4 linked regions of the Macaca fascicularis genome follow. The protein of the gene in region 2 purifies or fractionates together with the protein of the main gene of each other region. This does not show direct contact. Links are inferred from orthologs where the notes say so. Each region holds a gene or a part of one and is shown on either strand. Other genes may lie near its edges. The genes, in order: RBM8A, UPF3A, UPF1 and RNPS1.

What was found.
Region 1: the proteins of UPF3A (region 2) and RBM8A purify together in Homo sapiens (co-immunoprecipitation; 4 studies listed by BioGRID and IntAct, with this or other methods). This does not show direct contact. The link is inferred for Macaca fascicularis from reciprocal best matches to the Homo sapiens genes UPF3A and RBM8A.
Region 3: the proteins of UPF3A (region 2) and UPF1 purify together in Homo sapiens (affinity purification with western blotting; 5 studies listed by BioGRID and IntAct, with this or other methods). This does not show direct contact. The link is inferred for Macaca fascicularis from reciprocal best matches to the Homo sapiens genes UPF3A and UPF1.
Region 4: the proteins of UPF3A (region 2) and RNPS1 purify together in Homo sapiens (co-immunoprecipitation; 4 studies listed by BioGRID and IntAct, with this or other methods). This does not show direct contact. The link is inferred for Macaca fascicularis from reciprocal best matches to the Homo sapiens genes UPF3A and RNPS1.

The regions. Positions count from the first base shown.
Region 1 is NC_088375.1:113,487,929-113,495,220, reverse strand, and holds RBM8A (RNA-binding protein 8A), read right to left. Parts: upstream 4,160-7,292; 5' UTR 4,133-4,159; coding exon 4,066-4,132; intron 3,783-4,065; coding exon 3,723-3,782; intron 3,592-3,722; coding exon 3,514-3,591; intron 3,324-3,513; coding exon 3,187-3,323; exon of another isoform or gene 2,858-3,186; coding exon 2,721-2,857; exon of another isoform or gene 2,612-2,720; coding exon 2,566-2,611; 3' UTR 2,405-2,565; downstream 1-2,404. Other genes in the region: GNRHR2 (gonadotropin-releasing hormone II receptor), read left to right, coding at 851-1,087.
Region 2 is NC_088391.1:104,541,695-104,549,074, reverse strand, and holds the end of UPF3A (regulator of nonsense transcripts 3A), read right to left. Parts: intron 6,472-7,380; coding exon of another isoform or gene 6,411-6,471; exon of another isoform or gene 6,314-6,410; coding exon 6,019-6,313; intron 2,987-6,018; coding exon 2,858-2,986; coding exon of another isoform or gene 2,743-2,857; 3' UTR 1,968-2,742; downstream 1-1,967. UniProt on the Homo sapiens protein: Involved in nonsense-mediated decay (NMD) of mRNAs containing premature stop codons by associating with the nuclear exon junction complex (EJC) and serving as link between the EJC core and NMD machinery.
Region 3 is NC_088393.1:19,231,571-19,239,568, reverse strand, and holds the start of UPF1 (regulator of nonsense transcripts 1), read right to left. Parts: upstream 4,510-7,998; 5' UTR 4,259-4,509; coding exon 4,028-4,258; intron 1-4,027. UniProt on the Homo sapiens protein: RNA-dependent helicase required for nonsense-mediated decay (NMD) of aberrant mRNAs containing premature stop codons and modulates the expression level of normal mRNAs.
Region 4 is NC_088394.1:3,039,373-3,047,360, forward strand, and holds the start of RNPS1 (RNA-binding protein with serine-rich domain 1), read right to left. Parts: upstream 4,130-7,988; 5' UTR 4,072-4,129; coding exon of another isoform or gene 4,070-4,071; 5' UTR 2,878-4,069; exon of another isoform or gene 2,140-2,877; intron 771-2,139; 5' UTR 654-770; coding exon 583-653; intron 350-582; coding exon 194-349; intron 1-193. UniProt on the Homo sapiens protein: Part of pre- and post-splicing multiprotein mRNP complexes. Auxiliary component of the splicing-dependent multiprotein exon junction complex (EJC) deposited at splice junction on mRNAs.

The sequences.
Region 1 (7,292 bases), on a different chromosome or scaffold from region 2:
ACAAATTATAAATATATGAATGCAAGAGATGGGAAGAGGAAAGAACATTTTCCAACTAGCTCAGAGTAGCCTGATTGTAACTCCAAACAGTTCTCAAAATTCTGTCTTATGCTGAAACTATTCATCTTTCCTAAATGTCCCTCATGTCTGCTAAAATCACTGTCCCAAATGCCTTGTATCTAGGAATCTGATACCTACTGAGCTTACTTTTTATCAAATTAATAGTGACAATCTGCATTACTGGAACCCAGGCACTTTAACCTTGTAGTTCTAAACGGAAATAGTTTTTACTGATTCAGTTGGAAAACCCAGCAATTTAACAAAAAGGGGGAGGGGCAGCCCAACAGCATTTGGAAAATGTTAAATTTTATTATTTAACATTCTTTACCATTATAGTTACTGCACATAAGACTATAACTACTAAAGGTCACTTCAGAGTCACTGCAAAATGGCCTGGAATTTTGGCAGCACCTATTTTACACAGTTTTTCTTTTTCCACAAAATAACAGACATACCAGGAAAATCATTTCAGCTAAAAATATGAGTGAGGTGGTAGAAATATCATCCCTTATAAAGCGCAGTGTTAGAATAGTACTTGAGAAGGTGGGATTGTTTTAAGTTCCAAGATTTAACAAACTCACTGCTCAGCATCATATTCAAGCCTAAAAGGAAGGCAGGATTTTCAAGACATATTTCCAACCTCTTTAACATGGCACCATGGATGAACTGTTTTCAGCACTGTGCTGCTTCACTTGGAATTAAGGATGAATTGGGAGGAGACAGTATGACATAGGTGGGTAGGCTGGGTGGTGAGGGGAACCAGTTCTAATAGTCCTGAACTCCACTCCAGCTGTTCCTGTTCCATACCGTCCACCGAGCTGGCCCAGTCCCTTTCACTCAGTGTGTCACCAAAGGCAGCTTCAAGGCTCGATGGCAAGAGACCACCTATAACCTCTTCACCTTCCGCTGCCTCTTTCTGCTGCCACTGACTGCCATGGCCATCTGCTATAGCCACATTGTCCTCAGTGTGTCCAGCCCTCAGACAAGGAAGGGGAGCCATGGTGAGACTCCAATTCCCAGGCCTTAATCCTTAACCCTAGACCTGTTGCCTCTAGCATCATTTATCCACCTACCTAATAGCTATCTACCAGTCACTCAACTGTGGTGAGATCCTAACCATATGTCTAGCACCTGATGCTAATTTTGTTGAATCCTTTCAATTATAAACAGCTGAGTTAGCTGGACAAGGACTAGGGAGGCAATCAGTATTATTTATTCTTGAACACCATCAAGTCTTAAAGTAGACTGGGTGGCTTCACATTTCTATGATAATCCCTGGGGGTAAGAGATCATATAGTCCTAGGATGGGAAGGGGAAAAGGGTTTGCAGCATTCTCCTCCTTGTAGGAGGCAAGCTCTGTGTCACTAGCTATGCCCCTCCATCAGTTCACCCTACACTCAGTTCAGAAGCTTAGACTCTGAATTACAGTATATTTTCTAAATTCCTAGCCCCTGCTGGTGAATTTGCCCTCTGCCGCTCCTTTGACAATTGTCCCCGTGTTCGTCTCCGGGCCCTGAGACCGGCCCTGCTTATCTTGCTGACCTTCATCCTCTGCTGGACACCTTATTACCTACTGGGTCTGTGGTACTGGTTCTCCCCCACCATGCTAACTGAAGTCCCTCCCAGCCTGAGCCACATCCTTTTCCTTTTTGGCCTCCTCAATGCTCCTTTGGATCCTCTCCTCTATGGGGCCTTCACCCTTGGCTGCCAAAGAGGGCACCAAGAACTTAGTATAGACTCTTCTAACGAAGGGTCTGGGAGAATGCTCCAACAGGAGATTCATGCCCTTAGACAGCAGGAAGTACAAAAAACTGTGACATCAAGAAGTGCAGGAGAAACAAAAGACATTTCTATAACATCTATCTGATCCTAACAGAGTATATAGGAACAAAATAATAAGTCTTTAATACCATAAGATCTTAACATCTCACTTCTACTCCTGCTCTCCTAGTTCCCCCAAAAAAGAAATACTGACCAGTGTCTACTTTAAACCCTACCTGAAACTTGAGACTGTATCTAGTATAGAAATTCACATAACCAACCCAGGCAACACAGCAAGACCCCATCTCTACAAAAATATTAAAAATTTAGCCGGGCATGCTGGCATGTGCCTGTAATCCCAACTACTAGGGAGGGTGAGGCAGAAGGATGGCTTGAGCCCAGGAGTTTGAAGCTGCAGTGAGCTATGATCACGCAGCTGCACTCCAGCCTGGGGAACACAGCAAGACTCTATCTCAAAAAAAAAAGAAATAGAGTTCAGTCCCTAGAATTATCTTCACAATGATCCATACAGCCTTACTATGCTTTAGAACTTTCAATTTTATGATAGGAAAGTAATATTAAATGTAGAAAACAAAAATGGAACATTTATTCGCAACTCAAATAGTATGCATATAGGGTAAGAGATTAAATATAAACACAGCAAGTTCCACCCCAGTCCTATTTGTCCAAGGCTGCATGGTCAAATGGAATCTTGAAGAGAACACCTGGACAACAGAGGACCTGTCAGCGACGTCTCCGGTCTGGACTTCTGCTGCGTCTTCGGCCTCCTCTAGGGAAAAAGAAGCAGGGAGAAGAGTCCATCAGAGGGACATAATACTGCCTCCTCATTCTGTTTTGTTCATATTCCCTTCACCCAGTGTTTGCCCTCTTCATTTTACCTCCTCTTGCCTTTTGGTGGACCCCGAACAAAACACCAGTCAACGCTGATGGGCTGTCCCATCAAATCCTGGCCATTGAGTCCCTCCATAGCAGCCTGGGCCTCCTTGTATGTTTCATACTCAACTAGAGTATACCCCTGGGGAAAGTAAAAAGACAGATATGAAAACCCTCCTATTTCCCCAAGCATCACTGAGTACCTTTTTCCTCAAATCTAAACTCAGAAAAATCTATAAAATTTAAGCAATGAATGTACATCATATATCTCTGTATATATACAACATGTCTGTCTCTTTGGCGTGTCTGACAAAACATATCCATGTTTTAAATGTCATTTTATTTAATAAAATGACATCCAATGTCATTTTATTTTAACTTTGCTCTTGGCCAACCACAGCAAACACAGAACTACCAATGCTGTCTAAGGGTTATGAAAGAAAGGAGGCAATAAAGTGTCACTTAGAATACCTTCAGATATCCTGTTCGCCTGTCGAGGTTGAGGTGAATGTTTTTAATTTCCCCATATTCTGCGAATTTGTCGTGTATGTCTTCTTCAGTGGCTTCCTCATGGACTCCAGTGACAAAAAGAATCCAGCCTTCAACAGCTGTTGGGGGACGGGGGGAAGTTGTATGAGTACATGAGAGAAACGCTTCAAGCAGGCTCACGGGAGTAGAGTGAGTGTGGACTCAGATTGTTTAAGCTATCTCTGAACCCACTCCTACTGCTTAACTATTTTATCGCTTTCTAACTACTACCACAGGCACGGATACCTCACAGGTTCCATTATTACTCACAGCGTTGTGGTCCGGGTTCATCGCCATCCTGCTCCACGCTGTCATAATCCTCACGCATCCGCGCTCGGGACCCCTCTTCTATAAGGGACACACACGAGATCACCGAAAACTCTCCCTTTCTCCCATTGTTCCTATGAGTTGGGTGGGGACTCCAAAACCCGGGGCTCCTGCCCTACTAGGCCACTCTACCCCATTCTCCCCACACTCACCGGAGCCAAAGCCGCGACCCTTCCGTTTCTTCGCTTTTTCTTTCAGTTTGTGAATGCTCTCTGGAGCCCCAGAAGATAAAAGAGTAAGTAACCATGACAGTCATTTGTAATGATCGTTTCTTTCCCAAGACACTGTCTGCAAGCCGACCCAAACCGCCTCCAGTCTCAGTGCCTTCCCGGTCACGCCCTCCCTTCTCCCAAAGGGGGCGGAATCTCTAATCCATCCAAGACCCGGTTCCCCGATTCCCATCCTCACGACCCGGGAGAAAAGAGAGTAAATTTTCCTATTATAGCCTTCTCTCACACCTTCCCCGCTACGCCCGGCCGCCTCCACTGTCCTCACCGTCCCCATCCTCATCCATGGCGAAATCTTCGCCCCCGGCCTCGTGAAGATCTAGCACGTCCGCCATCTCGCCTTCGATCGAGATCTCGTCTGTGCCGCTCAGACACTAGGTACCTCGGGAAACTGTCGCAGAGGGGAAAGGTCGCCAGTCAAGCTGACCAATCAAAGGCTAACTCTAAATCCCTCCCTCTGCACGGTAAAAATACGCAAATTGGGGCGGGCCTAGTTCGGAAAGATGCCGGAAGTGTTTCTGTGGCCATCTTGAGCAGGTCGCGAGCTAAATGCTGCCATGTTGGGAGGTGCAGACTACAGGGGTCAGTGGATTCCTCTTAACCGCGGCAGCTGCTGAGAGATACTGTACTATTAACAGTGAGGCCCGGCGTAATTTCCTTATTAGAGGGCTTCTTTATGTCTCTTCATCCCAAACTGGGAAATGGTCACTGAAGACACCTTTTTCTATCAAAAATCCCAGGCCTGTACCCTGTTCCGAGGCAAGGTGATGTATGATAGGAACGTCTTTAAAAAATAGTTTGATCAGCAATACGGGCATAAAGAGCTGCTTCTGGAACGTACTGCAGCACCTAATTTCTCTTCAGGAAACTAACAGACCTGGTTGCAATATGATTGGTGAGACCGATATCAATTTTTGGTTTTTTTAAGATAAAACTCCCTGCCTGTAATCCCAGCTACTCGGGAGGCTGAGGCAGGAGAATCGCTTGAACCCGAGACGGAGGTTGATTATGTGGGCGTGGTGGAGTGCGCCTGTAATCCCAGCTACTCGGGAGGCTGAGGCCAGAGAATCACTTGAACCTGGGAGATGGAGGTTGCAGCGAGCCGAGATCTTGCCACTGCACTCCAGTCTGGGGGACAAGAGCGAGAATCCGTCTCAAAAAAAAAAAAAAAAGTGAAAAAGAGTAAAACGAAAAATTTCAAAGCGATTAGGAGACACTAATTTATTCTCCACGTAGGTAGTGTGATCATTTTAAAAATCAGTTGGTTACATATCTACTAAAAACCCTTTTTGTTGTTTTGAGACGGAGTCTCGCTCTATCACCCAGGCTGAGTGCAGTGGCGGTCTCAGCTCACTGCAACCTCCGCCTCCGGGGTTCGAGCGAATCTCCTGCCTCAGCCTCCTAAGTAGCTGGGACTACAGGCGCCCGCCCCCACACCCGGCTAATTTTTGTATTTTTAGTAGAGATGGGATTTCACCATGTTGGCCAGGCTGCTCTTGAACTCCTGACCTCAGGTGATCCACCAGCCTCTGCCTCCCAGAGTGTTGGGATTACAGGCATGAGCCACGGTGCCCGGCCTAAAAACCCTTTTTGTTAGAGGGGTCTGGCTATACTACCCAGGCTGGCCCGAAACTCCTGGGCACAAGGGATCCTCTGGCCTCCCAAGCAGCTGGGACTACAGGCGTGTAACCCTGCACCTGGTTCTTTCTTTGGCTTTTTGCTGCACTTAAAATAAAATTTTTAACTCACATAGCCTGCTCTGTGTTTTCAACCTGTTCTACCACCATTCTCCGTCACCCATGAAGCTCTCCTTGCACTTTCGCCCAATGGTGGTGTGCTCTTTCTCATCCCAGGGGTTTTGCAACTTGTTTGTTTGTTTTTGTTTTCAAGACGGGAGTCTCTGTCGCTCAGGCTGGAGTGCAGTGATGCGATCTTGGCTCACTGCAACCTCCGTCTCCCGGGTTCAAGTCTTCTCCTGCCTCAGCCTCCTGAGTAGCTGGGACTACAGGCGTGCGGCACCACACCTAGCTAATTTTTGTATTTTTAGTGGATATGGGGTTTCACCATGTTGGCCAGCCTGGTTTCTAACTCCTGACTTCTGATCATCCCCCCTTCTCAGCCTTCCAAAGTGCTTGGATTACAAGCATGAGCCACTGCTCCCCGCAGCTTTCTGTTCCTGGTGCTCTTCTCCTCTAGCTTTTCACATATTGGGTTCGAACTCATTTTTTTTTTTTTCTTTGAGATGGAGTCTCGCTCTGTCACCTAGGCTGGAGTGCAGTGGCGCGATCTCGGCCCACTGCAGCCTCCACTTCCTGGGTTCAAGTGATTCTCCTGCCTCAGCCTCCCAAGTAGCTGGGACTTCAGGCACGTGCCACCACGCCCAGCTTTTTAAAATTTTTTTAGTAGAGACGGGGTTTCACCATATTGGCCAGGCTGATCTTGAACTCTTTACCTTGTGATCCACCCACCTCGGCCTCCCAAAGTGCTGGGATTACAGGCGTGAGTCACCGCGCCCAGCCGAGTTCGACCTCATTCTTAAGGTCTCAATAGTACTGTCACCCAAAGGGATCTTCTGTACCCTCCTATCTTTCACTGTGTATTTCCTTCACAGAACTTAAATCAGAATCTTCTTTTTTTTTTTTTTTTTTTGAGACAGGGTCTCACTCTGTCAACCAGGCTGAGTGCAGCGGTGCAATTATGGCTCACAGCGGCCAATCTCCCAGGCCCAAGTGATTCTCCTGCCTCAGCCTCCTGAGCATCTGGGACTACAGGCACACGCCACTACATGCGGCTAATTTTTAAAAAATCTTTTGTAGAGACAGAGTCTTGCCATGTTACTTAGGCCAGTCAGAATTACCTTGTTTACTTTCTAACTTATTGTCTGTTTTTCCCATTAGAGTGTAATCCTTATGGCAGAGATAGTTATTTACAACTAAAATCCCTAAAGTTCAGCCCAATGTCTGGCTCATGGTAGACATCTGATAGATACTTATTGAATGAATGAATATTAGAATGGCAGGATATTCTGTCTGCCTGATGCTATGTGACTGGAAAATAAAGCTGGAAATACAGTTTAGGGTCTGCTATGCTAAGGATTTTGGAATTGATGCTATAAGCAAGAAATTTACCTACTTCAAATATTTGAGTATTCATGGTTTTTAATATTTGCAGATAGTCCCCATACTAGTTTTTGCTTATTTTTCCTTAGACTGACTTTAAACATAAATGTATACTGAAAGGAAAATCAATATTTTTCTACTACAAATTCAGATAAAAGCACAACTATTAAAAACTGTTTGCCCATCTATCATCTAAAATCATCTCAGGAACACATATAAAACTGGGAAATGGTAGGCCAGGCATGGTAGCTCACGCCTGTAATCCCAGCACTTTGGGAGGCCGAGGCGGGTGGATAGTTTGAGTTCAGGAGTTCAAGACCAGCCTGGGCAATATAGCAAGACCCATCTCTACAAAAAATTTAAAAAGAATTACTTG
Region 2 (7,380 bases):
TCTTTTTTTTTCTTTTTTGAGATGGAGTCTCGCTCTGTCACCCAGGCTGGAGTGCAGTGGTGCGATCTCAGCTCACTGCAAGCTCTGCCTCCCAGGTTCCCGCCATTCTCCTGCCTCAGCCTCCCGAGTAGCTGGGACTACAGGCGCCTGCCACCTCAACCAGCTAGTGTTTTGTATTTTTTTAGTAGAGACGGGGTTTCACCATGTTAGCCAGGATGGTCTCCATCTCCTGACCTCGTGATCTGCCCGTCTCGGCCTCCCAAAGTGCTGGGATTACAGGCTTGAGCCACCGCGCCCGGCTGAATTTCCTTTTTAATGCATTATTACTAGAAATTTTAAACATTCAAGGAAGAGAGGGTAATATTATGGACTTTCATCAGTTTTAACAGCTATCAATCTTCTGCCTGAGAAACATAAAGAACTTCATAAATGCAAGGTAATTTAAGCAATCTAGAAATTCTTAATGATCACCAACTTTCCAGTGTGAATACGGCTTTATTTTACAGGTAAGATATTCCCTTTGTGAAGAAGCATAGGCATATGTGTTTTTAAAATCCAGTGGTTTTTTTTCTTTTGTTTTTTTAAGTTTGGCAAGGTTTTAATGAGCAAGAGTAAGGGCTGAAGTGAGGAGGAATTACGCTGTCACCTGGCTCTGGGAATCCCATGGTCATGCAGAAACAGGGATTCCTTGTCAACAGGGAGCCTGGTTATCACCCTCAATTGCACTCATTTTGGTCAGGGAGACATCTCTCCACACTTGCACCATCTTCACAGACTCAGGTGGGATTCGATGGTCAAAGCTCTACAAGCATCGGCCACTGACCATCACTACCTGGTACTTATTGTCCAGCACCAAGATGCTCAGGTCAAATTCTTTGCTATCCTGAAAGGGCATAGTTTTGGATTTCACCTCAGGCTTCCAGGCCCCATTCTCATGCTGTTTGTGACCACACAACGGCCAAAGTACACTTAGAAACGGAAGGTGACGTCTGAGTCTTCATTCATCCTGGTATGGAAATCCACCTGCAGCTGTGGTTCATTGATGAAACAAACAGCTAGTTTTCCTTTGTCAAGTAGAACCAACAGACAAGAGTACAGCCTGTGTGTGTGGCGCAAGTAGTGGTGACACTGTTGTCTCCCTCTGGGTGGCCCTTCTGAATTGTGTTTAGTATTCTTTTTTTTTTTTGGGATGGAGTCTCGCACTTTTGCCCAGGCTGGAGTGCAGTAGCGTGATCTCGGCTCACTGCAAGCTCCACCTTCCAGCGTCATTCTCCTGCCTCAGCCTCCGGAGTAGCTGCAATTACAGACATCCGCCACCACGCCCGGTTCATTTTTTTTTTTGGTATTTTTAGTAGAGACGGGGTTTCACAGTGTTAGCCGGGATGGTCTCAACCTCCTGACCTCGCGATCTGCCCGCTTTGGCTTCCCAAACTGCTGGTATTACAGGTGTGAGCCACCATGCCTGGCCCTGATTTTTTTTTAAGAGTGGGTGGGTTAATTTGCTTGTCGTAACTAGCGTTTCGTCTTTCTCTCTCACTCTGTTAGGGCAGATGCAGACAGTGTTTGTTTAAGAAAAATTAGCCAAGTGTGGTGGCACACGCCTGTAATCCCAGTACTCTGGAAGCTGAGGCGGGAGAATTGCTTGAACCCAGGAGGCGTGGATTTCGGTGAGCTGAGATCACACCATTGCACTCCAGCCTGGGCGACAGAGTGAGACTCCATCTCCGAGAAAACAAACAAACAAAAAGACTTTCTAAGTCATTCTCTCTCCTTTTGAAAGTCTGTGTAATATTTACCAGTAAAATATTTTAAGGCCTTACCTTTTGGAATTTTTTGCACATTTTTGACAGCTGCTCAGTGTCATCCAAACCAAGAAAAGAGAAGATCTGTATGATTATGCTGTCAGGCATTTGAACTAACAAATCAGAATTTCCCTGACACAGATTCAAAGAACATGTCAATACTTCTTTAACAAAATTTGTATTTAATAAATGGTTAAAATCGCAGTGCCAAAAAGACATTAACATTTAACAATTTCACTGAAAGGAAGAAACTGTAGAATGCACGGTTTCAGAAAGCTATTTTAAGTTATTTACAAATAAAGTATCTAAAACTCAAAGACAGGCTCTATATGCTATACCTAGTTTATCCCTTCCCAAACAAAATTTCTGTTATTTGGGCAAATTCTTAAACCGTGGTTTAAACTGTAATGGTTACAAACCAGAAATGCATCCATCCAAAGACTGTGAAACCATTTTCATCCGGTCAGTGGCAAAACTGTTGAAAGGGCAATAGTTGAAGCTGTTGGGTTTTAAATACTGGGAACTCTGGTATATATTCCTACCAGGACTAAAACACAGCACACTCTGCAGGCATGGCTGACTCACGGAGGCTGTAACAAACAAGAACTACTCTTTACTCGACAGCACAGCTCAGAGGCCACCGAGAGGCACGAGAGACTGACAGCTCCTCTGCCTATAAATGAATGAAGCCCACACTGGATGTCGTTCTCACAGCACTGAAAGTGCTTCAGGACTCACACTGATCCAATACTAACTTTCTTCCCTATTTTACACATATTTTTCTACTGTCCAGTGAAAATCATTTTCTGTTTTGGCTGAAAAACAAATATTAGTTTATAACAGGAATGGTAAAATCCGTGAGAATTCTGCTCAATTTAATACAAGATCACTACTTTCTTTAGAATGGTGTCTGCGTGTTTCTGTGTCACCCTCTGTATTTTTAGCTTCCAGTTTCCTGGTAAGGAGTAAGTTCTCCTTTCCAGTCACACTCGGGGTCCTTTACACGTTTCTGAGATTCCTTCGCTTGTCCATGGAGGCCAGGTGCACCCAGTGACTCACTCTGCCTCTTCCCTCTTCTCGGGACCAGTCCCCGAACCTTCTGCCTTGCAGATCCTCCCACTTCCGCCACGCTCTCGTGCTCGGAAGCGAGCTCCTGGATCATACAGCTGCAAGGCCGGCCGGTCCTGCCAGGATAAGAGGGCATGTTACTCTTCCAAGGGCTGGCAACACAGAAGGGTCAACATCTCCTTGTATTTCTAGAACTTGATAATATGAATTGTCCAAAGAAAATCAACCTGGCAGCTAAAAATCAGCCCTTTTCACAGCACTCTCTCAGAATTCTCAGGCAATTTAAAAAGCCACGTAAATGTCGGTTATCTGGGCAAATGTTACTGCTCACACCAAGAACACCTTGTAATCTGAGCTGGGGAGGTGAAAACTCAAACATGTCCACCTCAGTCCCTAGGCCTGAAACAAAATGAGATGTGGACCCTCAGAGATGGCTTCAGATCTGCGAACTCAAACTGTTATTAACGTGAGTGGTAAGCAATTTCCACGGGGCTTATCCCTGCCTAGCATCTACCAGCAGGGAAACTGAACTGCTCCCTTTTGGGAAAACACTACCCCATCATTTTATTAAATTCCTGGAGGCAAAGCAATAAAAATGAACCAAAAAATCCATGAAGGGTAACTGTTCAGGGCCTGAAGGCAACAGCCAGGGAAGCACAGAGTGGCCCTGAAGGCCAGAGTCAGCAGCGACAGCAGCACAATTCCTCCCTGACGGGGCCACCAGCCCTGCCCCAGCACTGAAGGGGTGGCAGAGGAGGAAGGTGGCTTCCCGCTTCCCGAGGCCTGTAGCCTCCCGCTCCCTGCCTATTCTCCCTGCTGAGCTGCAGCCTTGGCCTCCAACAGTCACCAGGAGCCCAAGTGTGGGCTGCAAGGACGACCATGTGGACACATCTCACACACTTCTCCAGGATTCACCAGCTCATCTTTACCTTCTCCTGGACTGTGTGTGGAAGCCCACATCAGGTTGCCATCAAGGGGTTTAACTGAATTTTCTTTTCCTTGGTATGAACCTGACCAACGGGAGGGGTGCGAACAGGCTCAGCAGGCCCCTGCACCTGAATGCTCCTGTGGGGCGGAGACAGGCTGCCTGGAGCCAGCATGCACAGCTTTTTTTTTTTTTTTCCTGAAACAAAGTTACACTCTGGTTGCCCAGGTTGGAGGGCAACTGCGCAATCTCGGCTCACTGCAACCTCCACCTCCTGGGTTCAACTGATGCTTCTGCCTCAGCCTCCTGAGTAGCTGGGACTACAGGCGCGTGTCACCACGCCCGGTTAATTTTTATATTTTCAGTAGAGATGGGGTTTCGCCATGTTGGCCAGGCTGGCCTCGAACTCCTGACCTCAGGTGATCCACCCGCCTCTGCCTCCCAAAGTGCTGGGATTATAGGCGTGAGCCACCACACCCGGCCGACAATTCGGCTTCTTACCAGGGCAGTACCTGTGTACACAGATGGAGCATGGAACCTGACCTCAGAAGTACATGACAAATGCCAGGCTCCCGGGAAAGCAGCTCCTGCACACATTCCCACCACAGCACTGTGAGGCTACACAGAGGAGCGAATGCTCCCCCACCTCAGGTCAGGGGAGCACCACGCCATTCACCACTGCTAAAATAAGGCAACTGAAAACTGAGGACTCCCTATCGAAGAGACCCATGGCTGTACTTTGTGCCCCCAAGGTCCAGGCAACCCCAGAAAACTGTGGAGTATTCTAGAGGTGTTTATTCAAGGGTGAAGACAAGAAGGCTCTCCTCTGGCTTTCAGCCTTGACTTCACTGAAACATTTTTTTTTTTTTAGACGGAGTTTTGCTTTGGTTGCCTAGGCAGGAATGCAATGGCGTGATCTTGGCTCACTGCAACCTCTGCCTCCCAGTTTCAAGTGATTCTCCTGCCTCAGCCTTCTGAGTAGCTGGGATTACAGGCACGCGCCACCACGCCCAGCTATTTTTTGTATTTTTAGTAGAGATGGGGTTTCACAATGTTGGCCAGACTGGTCTCGAACTCCTGACCTCAGGTGATCCACCCGCCTCGGCCTCCCGAAGTACTGGGATCACAGGCATGAACCACCACACCCGGCTACACTGAAACACTTTAAAAGTGAACATCGGGCCGGGCGCGGTGGCTCAAGCCTGTAATCCCAGCACTTTGGGAGGCCGAGACGGGCGGATCACTAGGTCAGGAGATCGAGACCACCCTGGCTAACACGGTGAAACCCCGTCTCTACTAAAAAATACAAAAAACTAGCCGGGCGAGGTGGCGGGCGCCTGTAGTCCCAGCTACTCAGGAGGCTCAGACAGGAGAATGGCCCGAACCCGGGAGGCGGAGCTTGCAGTGAGCTGAGATCCGGCCACCAGCCTGGGCGACAGAGCGAGACTCCGTCTCAAAAAAAAAAAAAAAAAAAAGTGAACATCGTTCCTACACACAACAACCTGGAAGGATCTGAAAGGAATTAGGCTGAGTGACGAGAGCCACTCTCAAAGCTCACACACTGTGTGTTTGCACTCATCAAGCATTCTTGAAATGACAAAATCACAGAGGCAGAGAACAGACAGTGGCTGCCAGAGGTCAGACATGGGGAGGGAGGTGAGTGGGAATGCGAACCCGAGGCAGCCCTCAGTTTGCTGGGAGCCGGGGTGGGGCCTGGTGCTGTCAGAAGGGTGATGCCGTCTGTAGTGCTGCGCTGGGAAAACGCAACCTGAACAAAAATCAGCTTCAAACTTCTGAAAAAAAAAGCTGTTTGCTTGGCTAAGGGGGTAACCACAGTCCTGTGCTCAGCGTCTGTGCAGAACTAACTTCAGGTGTTTGTCAGCCACGGGAATATTCACTAATAATCAGAATGTTATTGATAATGTGGAAGAAACCTCCATGAAATATTAAAACTTTCCTTCCTGTCTCAAGGGAAAATTTAATCTTATTCTCAAGTGAATCATACAAACGTGCTAGTTTTATACTAAATAAAATCTTTCTTTTTCCTGGTGAAAAATAATTTGACTCTCTGAGAAAACATGACGATTAGTCTCACTCTAGGATCTGACTTTCAGGAATAACGAGCTTCCCAAGACACAAGGCCAAGTGGGGGTGACACGGTCAGCGTGCAACCTGGACCTTAAGACAGCCAGACAGATTTTTCTTTTTGGGTTTAATAAAAACCTTGTTTGCCAGTCGCTCCTTTCTGGGTGCTGGACCGTCGTCACACCTCTGTGCTCTTCCCACTCTCTCCGTGGCCTCCCCCGGAGCCCCGCTGTCCTGGCTCCCCTTCTTCCCTCTGTCTTGGCCAGGTCCTTTCCCCCATCTCTGCTCATCTTCACTCCTTCTGGAAAGCCAGTCAGGCTCGTGGTGAGCTCTGTGCCTCCTGCCGTCATCCACATGGTGTCTTTGTGCTTCACATTCTTTTTCTTGAGATCTCTCCACATCCCTGTACTCTTTATCACTGCCGCTGCGTGACCTGTGGTTCAACCCAAGCATCAGCGACTGCAGTAACCGCCAGTCGGCTGCTCACCCTCCTTTCTAGCCCGCAGGTTCCCAGACAACAGGGGCCCGTGTCAGCACTGCACTGCTGAGGCTGCACTGTGATGGGCACACAGCAGGCACTGACAAAAACCACTACAAAGAAGAATAAATCATAGTAATAATATTTGTCATTTCAGTTGAGTGACAGATAAGCAATATGCCTCACGCTAAGGTACTTTTTATACATATTGTCTAATTCTCACTAACCTTCCAAAGTAAGTATCTTCTTTCGGCCAGGCATGGTGGCTCACGCCTATAATACCAGCACTTTGGGAGGCCAAGGTGGGTGGGATCACCTGAGCTCAAGAGTTGGAGACCAGCCTGGTCAACATGGTGAAACCCCCTCTCTACTGAAAATACAAAAATTAGGTGGGTGTGGTGGCGCGTGCCTGTAATCCCAGCACTTTGGGAGGCCAGGGGCAGGCAGATCATTTGAGGTCAGGAGGTTGAGAGCAGCCTGGCCAACATGAAGAAACCCCGTCTCTACTAAAAATACAAAAATTAGGCCAGGTGCAGTGGCTCACGCCTGTAATCCCAGCACTTTGGGAGGCCGAGGCAGGCGGATCACCTGAAATCAGGAGTTCGAGACCAGCATGACCAACATGGAGAAACCCCATCTCTACTTAAAATACAAATTTAGCCAGGCACGGAGAGGCATGCCTGTAATCCCAGCTACTTAGGAGGCTGAGGCAAAAGTGCATGAACCCAGCAGGCGGAGGTCGTGGTGAGCTGACATCATGCCATTGCACTCCAGCCTGGACAACAAGACGAAAATTCCATTTCAAAAAAACAAAAAACAAAAATTAGCCAGGCGTGGTGGCGCGTGCCTGTAATCCCAGCTACTCAGGAGGCTGAAGCAGGAGAACTGCTCAAACGTGGGAGGCAGAGGTTGCAGTAAGCCGAGATCGTGCCACTGCACTCAGGCCTGGGCGACAGAGCGAGACTTTGTTTATCAAAAATAAAATAAACCTTCTTTTCTACAAAGTGACTGAGACTAAAGTG
Region 3 (7,998 bases), on a different chromosome or scaffold from region 2:
GCACTTTCTAGAATTTTGTATGAATTAAATTATACGATGAATCACACATTCAAAAAAGTAATTATTATGAGACACATCCATGTTGTTGCAGGTATCAATAGTTTGTTCCTTCTTAATACTGAGCAATATTTCCAACTCTTAAGAGTTTCACTTTAATTCCCGTTTGGAGGATACAGGGCAGAAGCTACAGTCAAGAGGAAATATTCCAACCAGGCAGACCAAAAGACTTGTAACACCAGCCATTATGCAAAGGACTTCTGAAATTACCTTCACTGTCCTGGGAGCAGGAGAGGTGGCAGCAGAGATGGGCCCAGGAAAGGGTCGGATGCTCGAAAACTGTCCCTTTATCTTAAGGACACTTGGCAATACTGTGTCAGTGCTTTTCATCCCAGGATCTCAAGGGCTTTGATAAATACCAGTTTCATTTCATAAACAAGAAAAGGAGTGTTACCTGAGCCAGCCCTGAGTATAGGGAGTCACCCCTGCTGCCACTTTCCCACCCCGGTGGGGACACACACTCTTGTCTTTCAACAGACATTAAGGAAAAACCAACTGTGCGAAATCAGTTCAGGTGCGGTTGGTATGGAAAGCGGCTACACACTGGAAAACAGTCTCGCAGTTGCTGAAACCATTAAACCCAGAGTTACTATGCGGCCCAGCACGTCTATAAACACATCCACGCAGAAACCTGTACATGCATGGCCACAGCAATGCTATTCACAAGAGCCAAGAGGTGGAAACAACCCAAATGTCCATCAACAGAAGACAAGATAAACAAAACATGGTTCATCCATCTGGACCATTCCACCAATGGAATATTACTAAGCCTTAAAAAGGAATGAAATGCTGGCCGGGTGTGGTGGCTTACGCTTGTAATCTCAGCACTTTGGGAGGCCAAGGCAGGCGGATCACAAGGTCAAGAGATCGAGACCATCTGGCCAACATGGTGAAACCCCGTCTCTACTAAAAATACAAAAATTAGCCAGGCGTGGTGGCACACACCTGTAATCCCAGCTACTAGTGAGGCTGAAGCAGGAGAATCGCTTGAACCCGGGAGGCAGAGGTTGCAGTGAGCCAAGATAGCGCCACTGCACTCCAGCCTGGGCAACAGAGCGAGATTCTGCCTCAAAAAAAAAAAAAAAGGAATGAAATGCTGACACATGCCACAGCGTGGATGAACCTCGATCAGGTTCATTTTCCTGAATGCTCGGTCAGGGAGTAGCTACAAGGTGAGCTTTGTAGCTACTTCTCACACATCATGCAAAGTGAAAGAAACCAGACACAAAACACCACATATGATATGATTCCATTCATGTGAAATGCCCAGAACAGGCACATCTTAAGACAGAAAGCAGGTGAGTGGTTGCCAGGGGCTGGGGAAGGGAGGACAGATGGGCTAAGGGGTGCAGGGTTTATTTCTGGGGTGACATAAATGTTCTGAAATTTACTGTGGTAATGGCTGCACAACTCTGAATATACTAAATAAAAGCGGCCAAACTGTACACTTTAAATGGGTAAACTGTATGGTGCGGCAAGTGAATTCTATTTCAATAAAGCTGTTAAGCAAAAGTGACTGCAGGGCACTTGACAGCTGATTGCCACTTGCCCAGTAAAATAAAAATTAAAAAACAGAATGAGAAGCTTTCTGAGTCCTTCCAGGAGCCCCCAACTTAACAGCTGGTTACACAGCCAACTCCTGAGGACAAACAGGGAAAGTCTTCCCAAATCAATCCACACAAGTGATAACTTTCTTCCGCTTTCCCTTGAATTATATACACAGACTTCCTTGCCCCCAAACTCCGGTCTTCCCCTTGTGATGCAAAGGGATGCCACTCCCATTCCCCACTAACAAATCCAAATTACAGGTAACAGGTGGGTGGGGCATCTGGGTCAATTAAAAGTAGCACAGGACAAACCATCTGATGTCATCAGAACTCTAGTGAGCTCAACTGCAATGTTTACCTCCAGGGGAGCGTTTTAATGCTCTCCTTTTGTACAGCCCAGTGTGTTCAGGTGCACGGAAAAAAATCAATTGTTTCAACTGAAAGAGAAGGACATGCGCCACACTTAATCCCAAACGGAATGCCAGAAACAAAAGTAGAACTAAAGGCTGCCCCAGGTTTGCTGTTTTATGCTGGCCACAGTTAAAAGGATTCACAAGAAAATGATTACCTTTGACACCAGCCAACCCCTCTATCCGCGCTGTCACGCTCATGGCTCACTGCTCCACAGAGATCTTTACCCTGAGTCTCCCCGACAGGCTGGACTTCAGATTACAAACAGCCTATACAGTCGACTCACACATGGATCTAGGTTTCCTTTATGTTTAAAAGGAACAAAAATCCAACTGCCACCCCCATTTCACAGCTGCGGAAGCAGAAAGGTCTACAGGGCATAAAAACTACAAGGAGGCGGGGCCTCCGCAGGTCCTGCTCCCTTCTTCAAGGGACCTCTCCTCTCTCCCTCCCCACCTTCACAAAATGTAAACAAAACTGAAAAAACCACCCATACGTGCACACCTGTTCTCCTCACACCCAACTTTCTATTTTAAGGAATATGGGGTTAGAATGAGTCAAATGTTTCTTGCTTCCATTAGGGGCTAAAAGGAAGCCCAAGTGGGTGGTCTACCCACGGGAATGACTCAGCCGACTACCACGTAAGCCCCCCTCATGCAAGGACAGGGTCTGAGCTCACTCAGGATGAGCAAGGAGTGGTTCTCCCAGCTTTGAAACACCAGCACATGCCAAGGGACACCTGTGCCAAGGTGAGCCTCGGAGTTACTCCCTGTCAGGAAAATAAACCTGAGCGAGGGGTCAGGCACAAAGCAAGCCTAAAGTGAAAGCAACCTGAGATCCAGAGGATGATGAGGACATGCCCCTGGAGCCCGGTGCAACCCGCGCCCCCCCAGCCCCTCTCCCACCCCAGGCAGGCAGCACCCAGGACCAGGAAATGCATGCCTGATACTTCTCCCAACCCAAGCCCCCATTTAAATACCTAAGTAACCTTCTCTAAACATCCACATCATTAAAAATGAGTTTCCAACGTGGCAGACGCATTTATGTAAACCCATTACTGCTGTCTTATTGGAGGAACAAAACTCAAACCCAACTTTTCCAAGGCAAGAGTTGTGGAGTTATGTAACAGGTCGGTTTCAGCAACAGGCGATGCAAGAAAAAATAAAATACAAACTGCTTCCTGAATGATCTTAATAGCCAGCCAATGTGTGCTCCTCTATGGGAGGCAAAAATTCTTCCCTGCCTCAATCTTCCGCTGACCAGCGCCCTTATGCTTGGGAAAATTCGAACCTACAGCTCCGTGACTGTGGAAGGGGGGATGCCCAGATGGCTGTGACCACAGATGGGAGGTGGGACAGTGCGGCCGGACCCCCCATTGGGGAGACGGGGCAGAATCCCCGGACCAGGCCAGAGACAGGATTAGGGCAGGTCACCCTGGATACTCCCGGAAGGGGACTGAGGGAAGTCACTCAAGATCCGGCCTGAGCAAGACCCGGCCCAGGCCGTAGGGGAACTCGGGGCAGAAAACCGAGACCTGAGAAAGAGGGACCAGGGCAGGTCACCCTAGCCCGGAGAGAGTGGAAGAACTCAGACCAGGGCAGGTTACTCCAGGCCAGGCTGGTTGTGGGACACAAGGCAGGTCAGCCCGGGCCCAGGCGGAGGAGCAAACCCAGCCGGAGTAAAGGAAGAGGGTCAGGTTAGCTCGGACCCGAACGGAGTGGAGAACTCGAGGCAAGTCGGCCCAGCCCAGGAGTTGGGGGCCGAAGGAACTCAGCCAGGTCCAGGCCGGAGCGGGAGACCCGGGGCAGATCAGGCCAGGCCCGGGCAGAGTGCAGGACCTGGGGCAGGTAAGCTCAGGCCCAGCCGGAGTAGGGGACCCGGGGCAGGTCGCCCCAGGCCCGGCCGCGACGGGGGACTCCGGGCAAACCCAGGCCCGGCCCGAGACGGGCTAGGGACAGGTCTCAGGCGCCGAGACAAGGCCCGGGCTTCCGGCGCCGCCATGTGCCGCTCACCTGCGCGTCGAGCTGTCCCGCCGCGGCGCCCGCGCCCGCGCCGCCTGGGCCTCCCGCGCCGCCACCGCCCGGGCCGCCGGGGCCGCCGGGGGGCGTCTGCGTCTGGCTAGGAAGAGTAAAGTCGGTGAACTCGAACTCGGAGCCCTGTGTATCGGCGCCGAGCAGCTCGGCCTCCTCCGTGTCCAGGAAAGTGAGAGTCTGAGAGCTGGGCCCGTACGCCTCCACGCTCATGGTGCTGCCGGGTAGGGCCCTCGGGCCGGCTCCGCGCCGCACTCGAGCCCGCCGCCGCGCTGAGGCCTAGGCCGCAGGCCTCGGCTCGCTGCCGCTGTCGTCCCCGTACGCCTGGAAAGGACCGAACCGCCCTCCCCGGCGCCAGCCGAACCGAGATGTAAGAGCGCCGAGCCGCCGCCGCTGCCGCCGAGCCCCTCCGCGCCTCAGTTCCCCTCGAAGCCGCCCGCCGCTCGCAGCCCCGGGCAGGAACTGCCGCCACCGCCGCCGTCGCCGTGCGCGTGCGCGAGCCCGGCGCCGGCGGAAGCGCGCGCGCTCTTCGCGGACGCCGGGTGCCCAGCGGGACGACGGGACGCTCAACGCGCACGCGCAGGGGGTGAGGCTTTCAACCGCCGTCGCGGCGGCCCCTCGAGGACTTGGTCCCGCCCCAACTGCTAATCGGGGACTCCCGGGCGGCGGGTGGTGTGGACGTGGTGGTCTGCACCTGTGGTCGCTGCGACAGTGTTTCGGTTTAATTAAGCGCTAGCCGAATAGCCTACGTAGGTGATCTCGAAATGCCCAACTGGAGAGGCTGGGCAGGGACGACGCGCTCCCACTCCTGGCAAAAGCTGCTTGGAACTCAGTTTCCCCATCTGTAAAATGGGGGGTGCCTCGCACATAGTAGATGCTCCCTGTGCATTGGTTTAATAAGGGGGTGGGGCTCGGCGCGGTGGTCACACCTGTAATCCCAAACACTCGGAGGCTGAGGCGGGAGAACGGCTTGAACTCAGGAGTTCGAGACCAGCCTGGGAAACAGAGTGAGACTCCATCTCTACAAAAAATACAAAACTTAGGCCGGGCGCGGTGGCTCACGCCTGTAATCCCAGCACTTTGGGAGGCCGAGGCGGGCGGATCGCGAGGTCAGGAACTCGAGACCATCCTGGCTAACACGGTGAATCCCCGTCTCGACTAAAAATACAAAAAATTAGCCAGGCGTGGTGGCACGAGCCTGTAGTCCCAGCTACTTGGGAGGTTGAGGCAGGAGAATCGCTTGAACCTAGGAGGCGGAGCTTGCAGTGAGCCAAGATTGTGCCACTGCACTCCAGCCTGGGCGACAGAGTGAATCTCCGTCTCAAAAAATAAAATAAAAAAAATAGCTAAAAAAAATTAGCTAAGTGTGGTGGTTCTCACCACTGCACTCCAGGCTGGGTGACAGAGCGAGACCCTGTCTCAAAAATAAGTAAAAATAAATGAATGGGGATAGTCTTAGGTACTGGGCCTGACACTTGGAAATGATGGTTGCTGCTGTTCCTGATGCCTCTGCCGCTGTCATTATACAATTACTATTTTTGCTATGATTATTATTTAGTGGACATATACAGCAAAACAACAGGAAGCACATGGTGTGTGGTGGAATCTAGAGCTAACCACTTATCAGCTGTGTGAAATTATACAAGTGAGGTAGGCCAGGCGCGGTTTCTCAAGCCTGTAATCCCAGCACTTTGGGAGGCCGAGGCGGGCGGATCACCAAGTCAGGAGACTGAGAGCATCCTGGCTAACACGGTGAAACCCGGTCTCTACTAAAAATACAAAAAATTAGCTGGGCTGGTGGCGGGTGCCTGTATTCCCAGCTACTGGGGAGGCTGAGGCAGGAGAATGGCATGAACTCGGGAGATGGAGCTTTCAGTGAGCCGAGATCGCACCACTACACTCCAGACTGGGCAACAGAGCGAGACCACATCTCAAAAAAATAAATAAATAAATAAAAAATAAATTATACAGGTGACTTAAACTCTCTGAGCCTAGGGTTTCTGTTGCCATTAAGGTAGGATAGGAAGCCTGGGCAAGGTGGCTCTTTCCTGAAATCCCAGCACTTTAGGAGGTAGAGGCAAGAGGATCACTTGAGCCCAGGAGTTTGAGGCTGCGGTGAGCTATGATTGTACCACTGCACTCCAGCCTGGGTGACAGAGATCGTATGTGTGTGTGTATGTTAATATATATTTATATATGTTAATATATATTAATAAAGTGATTAGTAGCTCGGTTATTCCTCTCATGTGATATATGGTTGCTGCTGATATATATATATATACACACACACATATATATATGTATGTATATAATGGAGCCCGGCGTGGTGTCTCACGACTGTAATCTCAGCACTTTCAGAGGCCGAGGCGGGCGGATCACTTGAGATCAGGAGTTCGAGACCAGCCTGACCAACATGGTGAAATCAGTCTCTACTAAAAATACAACAATTAGCCGGGCATGGTGCGTGCCTGTAATCCAGCTACTCGGGAGGCTGAGGCAGGATGATTGCTTGAACCCAGGAAGCAGAGGCCGCAGTGAGCCAATGTTGCACCACTGCACTCTAGCCTGGGCGACAGAGCGAGACTCCGTCTCAAAAAAAAAAAAGATATATATATGGTGTATATTATATATCTCACTGTATATATGAGAGGAATAAATGAGCTACTAGTCACTTTATTATATATATAGAGAGAGATAGACAGTATGTATATATACATACATATACACACTATATATATAAGAATAAATGAGCTACTAGTCACTCTATTATATATAGATAGGGAGTGTGTGTGTGTGTGTATATATATATACACTCTCTCTCTCTCTATATATATATGTATATATATGAGAGGAATAAATGAACTACCAGTCACTCTTAACATGTAGTTCCATAAGGACAGGGGGTTGGCCTGTTTCATTATGATCTTCCGCACGGAGAGAATGATGCCTCATATAGTAGGTACTCAATGAAAAGTCTTCTGACACTTTAAATCCCAGGTAAGCTACTGGTTTATGGGCCTTAATTTCCTAACCCCAGGCGTCCGCTTCCTCTCTGGTAAAGTATCTTGGAAAACATCCCCCATTTCCCTTTCTGTCCCAAGATTCTGCTGCTCTTTAAATAAGTCAGCTGAAAGAGCGCCTAGCTTGCACAGCTGAGCTAAAAGGTCCTGATTTGCCATGGTTCCTTATTTTCCAATTTGCCTGTTTATCATGACAGGAACAGAGGTTCTGTTTTCCTTCTTCACATTTTTTTTTTTTTTTCCTGAGATGGAGTTTCACTCAGTCACCCAGGCTGGAATACAGTGGCGCAATCTTGGCTCACTGCAACCTCCGCCTCCTGGGTTCAAGCAGGAGGGTTCAATTCTCCTGCCTCAGCCTCCCAAGTAGCTGGGATTACAGGTGCCTGCCAGCACGCCCGGCTAATTTTTTTTGTATTTTTAGTAGAGATGGGGTTTTGCCATGTTGGCCAGGCTGGTCTCAAACTCCTGACCTCAGGTGATCCACCTGCCTCTGCCTCCCAAAGTGCTGGGATTACAGGTGTGAGCCTTCTTCACTCTTTTTCAGGGGCAAGGCATAGTGGCTCATATCCATAATCACAGCTCTTTGGAAGATTGAGGTGGGACGATTACTTGAGGTTAGGAGTGCCAGACCAGCCTAGGAAACAGTAAAACCCCATCTCTACAAAAAATAAAAAATAAAGATAACATTTGGAGGGGGGCTCCTAGCATGCACTAAACTGTAGGAATATAGACAATGAATAAAAGTAGTCTGCCTGTCTAGGAAGGCACAGTTTAAGGGGTAATACTGACAGACCAACAGATAATTTTCATATCATACAAAGCTCTCTTTGGAACACATCCTGATGAATTTGTAGACAAATTTCAGATCAATTTAGTAACACCTATCAGAGTTTTTATTTATTTATTTATTTTTAGACAAGGTCATGCTCTGTC
Region 4 (7,988 bases), on a different chromosome or scaffold from region 2:
TCGGCTTCCCAAAGGGCCAGGATTACAGGCATGAGCCACTACACCTGGCCAGTCTGCCATAAATTAGGGTCTGTACTAACAATCAGAGGATGTGTTTTCATTGTAAATAATCAAGAAAACTGAGCCATCTGTGGGGAGTAGGGGTGTGGCTGTGGCACAGGTCCCCTCCAGACTCCAGGCCAGCCCGCCCCACCTGGTACTGCTGCTACCACTGGAAGCACTGCGCCTCTTTCGGGTTTTGTCCCTGCCGCGATCCTTCTCACTTGACTCCTTGGTGGCCCCTTTATCTTTTGAGCGATCCTTGGACTTCTCATCTGAGCGGTCCTTGCGTTTGGTGGGTGAAGGAGCCCTGGATGGTGAGGAAGAGTGTGAGACTGTGTGCTCCTCTGACCAAACCCAAACAGCACAACCCAAAAGAGGGGATCAGCAGGGCCACAGAAACCCCAGGTGATCAGAGTAAAGTGGCCTGTGGCTCAGAACACTGACTGTAGAATGCAGAACATTCTCCACTTCCCCCTTTCTGCGGGTCCCTAGCAGTAAGCACCCCCAAGTAGCACTAGAAAAATCTTACAGAAGGATTACCTAGTGCTGGACTTTTTATTATTTTCTTTGACTCCTAGCAAGCTCTTCTTTTTCACTCCTGATAAATCCATTCTCCCCTTCTGAGGTGTTCAAAGCAGCAATGGCGGCCTCACTTATCTGAACTCTCACTTCTAACTTGATTTTGAGAAACGATCCCTAATCGATTGCAATTTACGCCAAAGAGCAGCCTAATAACAAGATAAAAGGGTTTAAAGAGTGAACGAATTGGCAAGGCAACAAGTCTACTTTGCAGTCAAAAGCTGAGCACACAAAAAGACAGCAAGGGAGCACAGTAAGCAATGAGTGTCCGCACAGTCAGGAACACACAGGGACAATCCCCATGTGCTCATGGAGGCATCTCTACCCTGCACAGAAGGCACAGGCACAACTGTCGCCCCCACTTATATTTTTCTTAAAAAAAATGGAGGAGATGGTGGGGCCCATCACTGTTATTTTACAGGCTGAACAATTCAGTTTTCACCCACAAGTTTGATGAGCCCCTGCAGTCCTTTCAAAATGCCACAGCACCACATTCACATGCAGAACAGAGAAAAACCTAACTCAAGGGTGGTCTCCAGATAGGATTAGATCTCCTCTTTTATTGTGGCAATTTGCCTTTAGGATACACGGATGTGACTGGAAGCAAAAATCATTTCAAAAGTGACTGGTACCAGCATTAAAACACTTAATACCCAAAAGCAAACAGATGAAACGTACCATATGAACATTTAAAAAGCAGAAGAATCATTTTAAAAAGCAGTAATTGCACTGTACTTTAATAATATGCATATTGAGTGTAGGGGAAAATACATGCAAGTCTGCAATTTACTTTGAAAGAAAAACTAAGATTGAGAAAAACTAAGATTGAAAGAAAAACTAAGATTGATAAAAACCATCTAGCAAATACAGCAGAAATATAACTTACAGACTCTTAACCTCTGAGTTTTGTTTTGTTTTTTTTTGAGATGGAGACTTGCTCTGTCACCCAGGCTGGAGTGCAGTGGCACGATCTTGGCTCACTGCAACCTCCACCTCCTGGGTTCAAGCGTTTCTTCTGCGTCAGCCTCCTGAGTAGCTGGGACTACAGGTGCTTGCCATCAAGCCTGGCTAATTTTTGTATTTTTAGTAGAGACAGGGTTTCACCATATTGACCAGGCTGGTCTCCAACTCCTGACCTTGTCATCTGCCAACCTTGGCCTCCCAAAGTGCTGGGATTACAGGCGTGAGCCACCAGACCTGGCCCTTAAGTAGTCTTTATGTGGGTATTAATTGTATAATTTGACGTTCCTGTGCTTTAAAAATTTTTCAAAAATAAGATGAAAAAAAAGTAGGCACTGAAATTGCATGAGAGACTGCCTGCCATGTAAGAGTTTAGCAAAATGCCTGGACTGCAGAATGTGTTCAAATAGCGGTTACTCATTACTCAAAAGCAAACTAATTAGTTATGGGCCCTATTTTCCAGGGACGCCTTCAGTATTTCCAGTAAAGTTCTGCACAAGCTGCAGGAGTTGTTAAGTGCAGCTCTCAGGATGTGAGTCTCAGCTACTTCTGTCTCACCTTCTCCAAGAGCCAGTTGGTAAGGAGGACACAGCACACCAATGGGGTCCTGGTTTCCCTGTGCAGTACCTGCCAGGGGTGCTTCAAAATGCTGCTGAAAACGTGTTCTGACCCAAGAAAGAAAAGCACCTGGCTTTAAACAGTCAAATGAGCCAAGGAGGGCCGAACACCACCTCTGCTGCTCTTGTCCGGGGGTATCATGTTTTGCTTTAGAATAGTAAGGTTCTGCAGACACCCAGCAGATAGTGCCTCGACACTGTTGGTGTCCTCGGACAGTCAGTGAGTATCATTCAGAGTATAATTCAGAGTCTGCAACCAGAGGGCCTGGGTTTGATTTGAGGTTTTACGGTGTAATTTTCGACAAGTCACTTAACCTTTCTCAAGTTTCTTATCAATATGGTGACAATTACAATTCCAACTTTATAGTTACCCAGGGCATTAATGAAAAGCTCAATAATGTTAGGAGCAAGATTTGTAAAGGCTCCTCCCTCCCCCAGACATTTGTCTCCAAAGTCACACGTAATTTCTGAACTCTCAGCAGGGTTCCTGCACTCATCTGCCTTAGGATCACCTGCAGCAGAAATGTCCAATAGAAACAGTGTGAGGAGCCACAAGCATCACCTGAAATTCCTTAGTAGCCACATCACAAAAATGGGTGAAATTTTTAACACTTGACACATCCAAAATATTATCTTTCCAACATATAATCAACATAAAAATCTACTAATAAAAGTTTACTTTTTTTTCATAGTCTTCTAAAACTGGTATGTGTTTTAACATTTCAGTTTTGATGAGCTGTATTTCACATGCTTAGTAGCCACATGTGGCCAATGGCTACTTCACTGGACAGCACAGACCTAGAGTGGAGGTCACACCCGCAGATTTCAGCCCCACCCCCCCAGACTTAAAGATCTGCCCAAATGTACTTTGTGGAATCAAACACCACCAGTTATTCTCAAGCAGTCCAAACACTAAGAACCACTGAGTAAGCGGACGGCTCGCTGGGTGCGGTCGAGTGCTAGAAAGCAAAAGTTGAGGTTCTCTGTTCACCCAAGTTCAGGTACCGGCTCAGGACCTCGGTTACCTCCCCCATCCTCCGGAAAGGTGCGCGTCCAACAGCCAGAGAGAGGAGAGAACAATTAGTTAAATCTCGAGGAGAGGGCGTTTCGGCATAAATCTTCAGAGCACCTTCCCCATTTAAGAGTACATTTCAGGCACAGTTCATGAGAAATCAAGACAAAAAGCCTACTCCACGTTTCTCCTCCATCAACCTTAACCTTCCCGTATCCACCCCTCTGGGATAACCCATCAAACTGAGCTCGGACACCGTGTTCGGTCCATAGTGGGCCGTATCCCCACGGCCTAGCGCCGACAATTGCACACGGGAGTCCGGGAAACGTTCGCGGAGTACACGTTTGAATTAATGACTCCGAAGGATGGATCGGCCGACCTTCCACCGCATCCCACAAAGAAACTCCGCGCCCGCCGGCACCGGCCCGACACGCCGACCTCGCCGCTCCCCGTCCGCGTTCACTCACAACTTCCCCGTCCAGGCGCCGGGCCGCAAGCGCTTCCAGGGCAGCGCCTGGCGTTGGGGGCTTGGGTCTCCGGCCCGGCGGGAGGGCCCCAAGAACGGAGGCCGCGCTCACCGCTGCTCCGAGTCCCGCGGGCCTGGCTGGGCCACCGCCGAGCGGACGAAGCAGAGGCGCCCTTCCGTCCGCGGCGGCCCCGATCACTTCCGGGCCACGGCCTCGACACCTCCCACTCCGCCCGCCCCGGGCCACACTCTTTCTTCTCGGAGCCCGCACCGCGCTGCCAGGCCACCGCCGCACTGCGGGGCTGAGAAGTGGACCGGCTTCACGATGCGTCCTGCCGGGCCTGACGGGCAGCCCCCGAAACACGGATGCGGTCGGATTCCGCCCCAACTTACATCTTCCCGCCGCCACCACCTCCTCCTGCTTTCCTCAGCCTCCGAGGCCGGCGCCGCTCTGACGTCAGAGTCAAGGAGCGGGAAGACGCCGCCGTCCGGCGCGTAGCGATGACGTAAACGCCTGGCCCAATGGGCGCCGGCGGGGAAGTGTTAGACAGTCAAGGCAGTTTGTGGTAGCCGCGTTGGGGACGTTCAGGGTGTCTCCTCGCCGGTAAAGTCCCTGGGACTGACCGGACTGGCTGCACGCTTGCTGGAGCGAGCACATGGGTAGCCTGCTGAGCCTGGGAGGGCCGCGCGATAACCGATGCTCGTCGTCCGGAGCGGAGGGTGTTATCGCGGCCGTGCCCCGCCCCTTTCCTTGCGCGGGCTCCCTGGACCCGCCCGGGCCGATTCTGGCCCCTGTCGCCGGCGGTGGAGGCGGGGCTCCAGGCCCGGCTGTGCTGAGGGCGGCAGGGTGGTCGCACAGGAGGGGTGCGCAGCCTTTGCGGCCTTGCGTGGCGGGGCGTGGGGGCCTGCAGGGCGGAAGTAGCTCGGAGAGACGGGCTGGGGCAGGACTTGCGTTCCTGCGGTCAAAACCCACTGGTGGCGTTTGGGGTGCTCTCGTGGACGCGGCCTCCGCGCAGGCGGACCTCCAGGGTGGGCGCTGCAGGCGGGCTGTGCGGGCAGGAAGAGCAACGAGCTTGAGGATGGGAGATGGGGTGCAACGGGGGGCGTCTCCGGGCAGGTGACACTGCCGCTGAGACTAGAGTGGAAGGGCGCGCCCGGCGGGGGAACAGCAGACGCCGAGGTTCGCTGGAAGCAGGGAAGGGAGGCCGGGGCACAGGCTCGCAGGCCCGCGCCAAATTCTCAGTGGAGGCAGCACGGAGCGTGTGAACGGCGCAGCGCCGAGGCTTCATCTAACGGCCGGTGCAGGGTCCGAGCAGGGAACACTGTCGACCAGGGTCCGACTCTGGGAGAGTCCAGAGGTGGCGCCTCTGGCAGGCACAGAGGAGGGGGTGACGCTGTAGGGGCCCAGGCAGGAGGCTCCGCGTCAACGCCCCACACTGACGCGGCGGAATTTTTTTTTTTTGACAGAGTCTCGCACTGTTGCCCAGGCTGAAGTGCAGCGGTGCGATCTCGGCTCACTGCAACCTCCGCCTCCCGGGTTCAAGCGGTTCTCCTGCCTCCGCCTCCCGAGTAGCTGGGATTACAGGCACACACTACTACACTCGGCTAATTTTTTGTATTTTTATTAGAGACTGGGTTTCACTATGTTGGCCAGACTGGTCGCGAACTTCTGACCTCGTGATCCGCTCCTAGGCTTTCAGGCTCGCTCCAAAAGTGCTCGCTCCTAGGTTCGCCTTGGCCTCCCAAAGTGCTGGGATTACTTTACAGGCGTGAACCACCGCCCCCGGCCGGGTTTTGTTCACTGCTGTGCCTGTTAGGTAGTCGTTGCCCTTTGATTATTTGTGGAGGGATTGACTGTGTGCTCAGCTTCCGACTTTGAACAGCTTCCTGGCAGCAAGGAAGGGAGAAGGAAGCAGATCCAAGCGGATCTTTGGGAGGAGACAACCAGCATGACTTGGAGACTTCAGATGTCAGAGCAAAGGACAGGGTGCAGCTCGGTGACCCAGAGTGGGTGGGCGGGTGAATGGTTGTATGGTGGGGATGTGGTCTGCCGTCACTGCCCTCTTCTCTGTGTGGGAAGCCAGCTCTTGGTGACTTCCTGCCCGGGCCCGCTCCCTCTGGCCCTGTCCGAGGGTGTCAGGTGTGCCCTTGACTCTTCACCCTGGGCTAAGGGATGTGCGAGGAGTTGGGGACAAAGGCAGCTGGGAGGAGGAGCTACCTCCCGAGTCCACCGCACTAAGTCACCAGTGTGTTCCTGTGGGTGGAGGCTGGCAGGCCCATCAGTCTGGTTTGGGTACCCCCGTTGGATTTGGGTTTGATGACATGTAAGTTAGATTCTCTGCATTACTGTCACACCTGCTGTGCCCAGGCATGGAAGGTTAAGTGGAACAGAGGGACCGCCCCCCTGCTGAAGGGGCCCCAGAGTCGGTGCTAGGGGAGGGGGCAGTCTCAGTGGTCCAGGCAGGCACAGGCGGAGTTCTCTCAGGTGCATTGGAGTCCAGTGGTCAGAGAGGTGCTGAAGGACCCCAAACCCAGAGCCCATGCCCAGGGCCCCACTGACACCTGGTGGGGAGGGGCAGCCTGGTGACCCCACGTGACATGGGTGGGGGTGACGCAGCACCAGCTGGGCTGACAGCCCTCCCCCTGCTGATTTTTAATGCTCTGCAGTAATTTCATTTGGCCTGCGAATAAGCTTTCACACATTTTATATTAAATCGACGAGTATGATTTATTCAGGCACTTATGAATTTAATCAAAATTGTTTCTAAATATTACTGATTTTTGTCATCAAATGTGCCATCAGCTGTTGAGCTTTGAGAATTGAGCATCCTGGCTTTTGCCGTTTTGAGGATCAGCAGAAGCATGTCTGAAAGAAACGTGAGAAAATAAAAGTCAGGAGCCTACCCCCACCCTGTCCTTCCAGGAGCTCAGCCCCAGAGCCAGGCTGCTAAGGCCATGGAGGCTGAGGGTAGTGGAGCTGGGGCTTCTGGAGCCTCAGGGGCCCTGGTTTGCTGCAGGGGGCAGGCAGGGCTTTGCGGACACGGCATTATGCAGTGGCCAGAGCACTGCAGTGCTGGGCACAGGCTTCTCGTGGGCTCTGGCCATGGCCCTGAGCTCCTCCCCTTGCCTTCCCAGAGCTGAGGGTCACCTGCTGACTGTTTGGGGCGACTCTGTCTTTGAGGGCATGCCCTCATGAAGGCAGAATGTCCTCCCTGCCTCCATCCTCTGTTGCTTGGTGGCTTCTGCAGTGCCTGCGCTTAGAGGCTCGTGGCCTGGGACACAGGGTTGGTGATGGGCTTGGTGGTGCTGCAGGTCACAGTGGGTCATGAAGGAGCTTTGGGGAGGGTGTTGTATTCTCTGGTAAAGCACAGCAAGGGAGCCCTTTTACCCACTAAAACCTGGCTCTGCACTGAGGCCGTGTGCAGCCCAGTCAGGTGGACGAGGGAGTAATGACTCGACCTCGGGGGAGGCATCAGAGGAGGAGCCGTGCCTGCTGAGAGGCAGGTCACCATAGCCTGGCACCTGTCTGGAGAGGGTCGGGCTGGGGGAGGTGCTGGCCAGGTCCATTGGGGTGGCCAGGCTGGGTCTGAAAGGGCCTTGTGCTGGTGTGGGGTGAGCTTGGTCTGTTGGGAGAGTATACGGTTCATTGAGGCCTCCCTGGCTCCGGGTTTGCATGTCTGAGGAGTGGGTATCATCAGGGCCTGGGGCCCCTCCAGTGGGCACGTCTGGACTCTCCCAGGATCGGGAGCCTGTGCTCATCACAAGCTCAAAGCACTCCATTTCTGCTACAATGAAGTCAAGGATAGTGACCGTGAGCCGCCTGGGACCTGAGCTGCCTGGGACTGTGACTGAGGCACCTGGGGTGCCTCTCAGGACCTGGGGGCTGAGCCCATGGCTAGATGAGCCTTGGTGATGCTGTGGTATTGCCTGGGCCAGGCGGACCCAGGGGCAGCTGCAGCTGGTCCATGTGGAGCTCCTTCAAGCCGAAGCATCTGACACCAGTGTCTGTGGGGTGTGGGCCCGGCCCCAGGAGCGGGGCCTGGGCAGCCCCGTGTGTTGAGGAAGGAAGGCAGGGCCCCCGCTCCCCGGGCCTGACCCCACTGCTTCAGCCCCCTCCTGCCTGCCTGCAGCCTGGCCTCGAGGGCCCATCAGGTGAGGAGGGGATCCCGCCTGCCCCACCCCATCCTACCTCCTGGAGGAGGCCTTGCCCCTTACAGGCAGCCTCCAGCTCTCCCACCCTGAGCCCCCTGTGTGGGGTGACCAGAGCATGCCCAGCATGTTCAGGTTCGGGGGGCATCTGGAAGGAGGGACA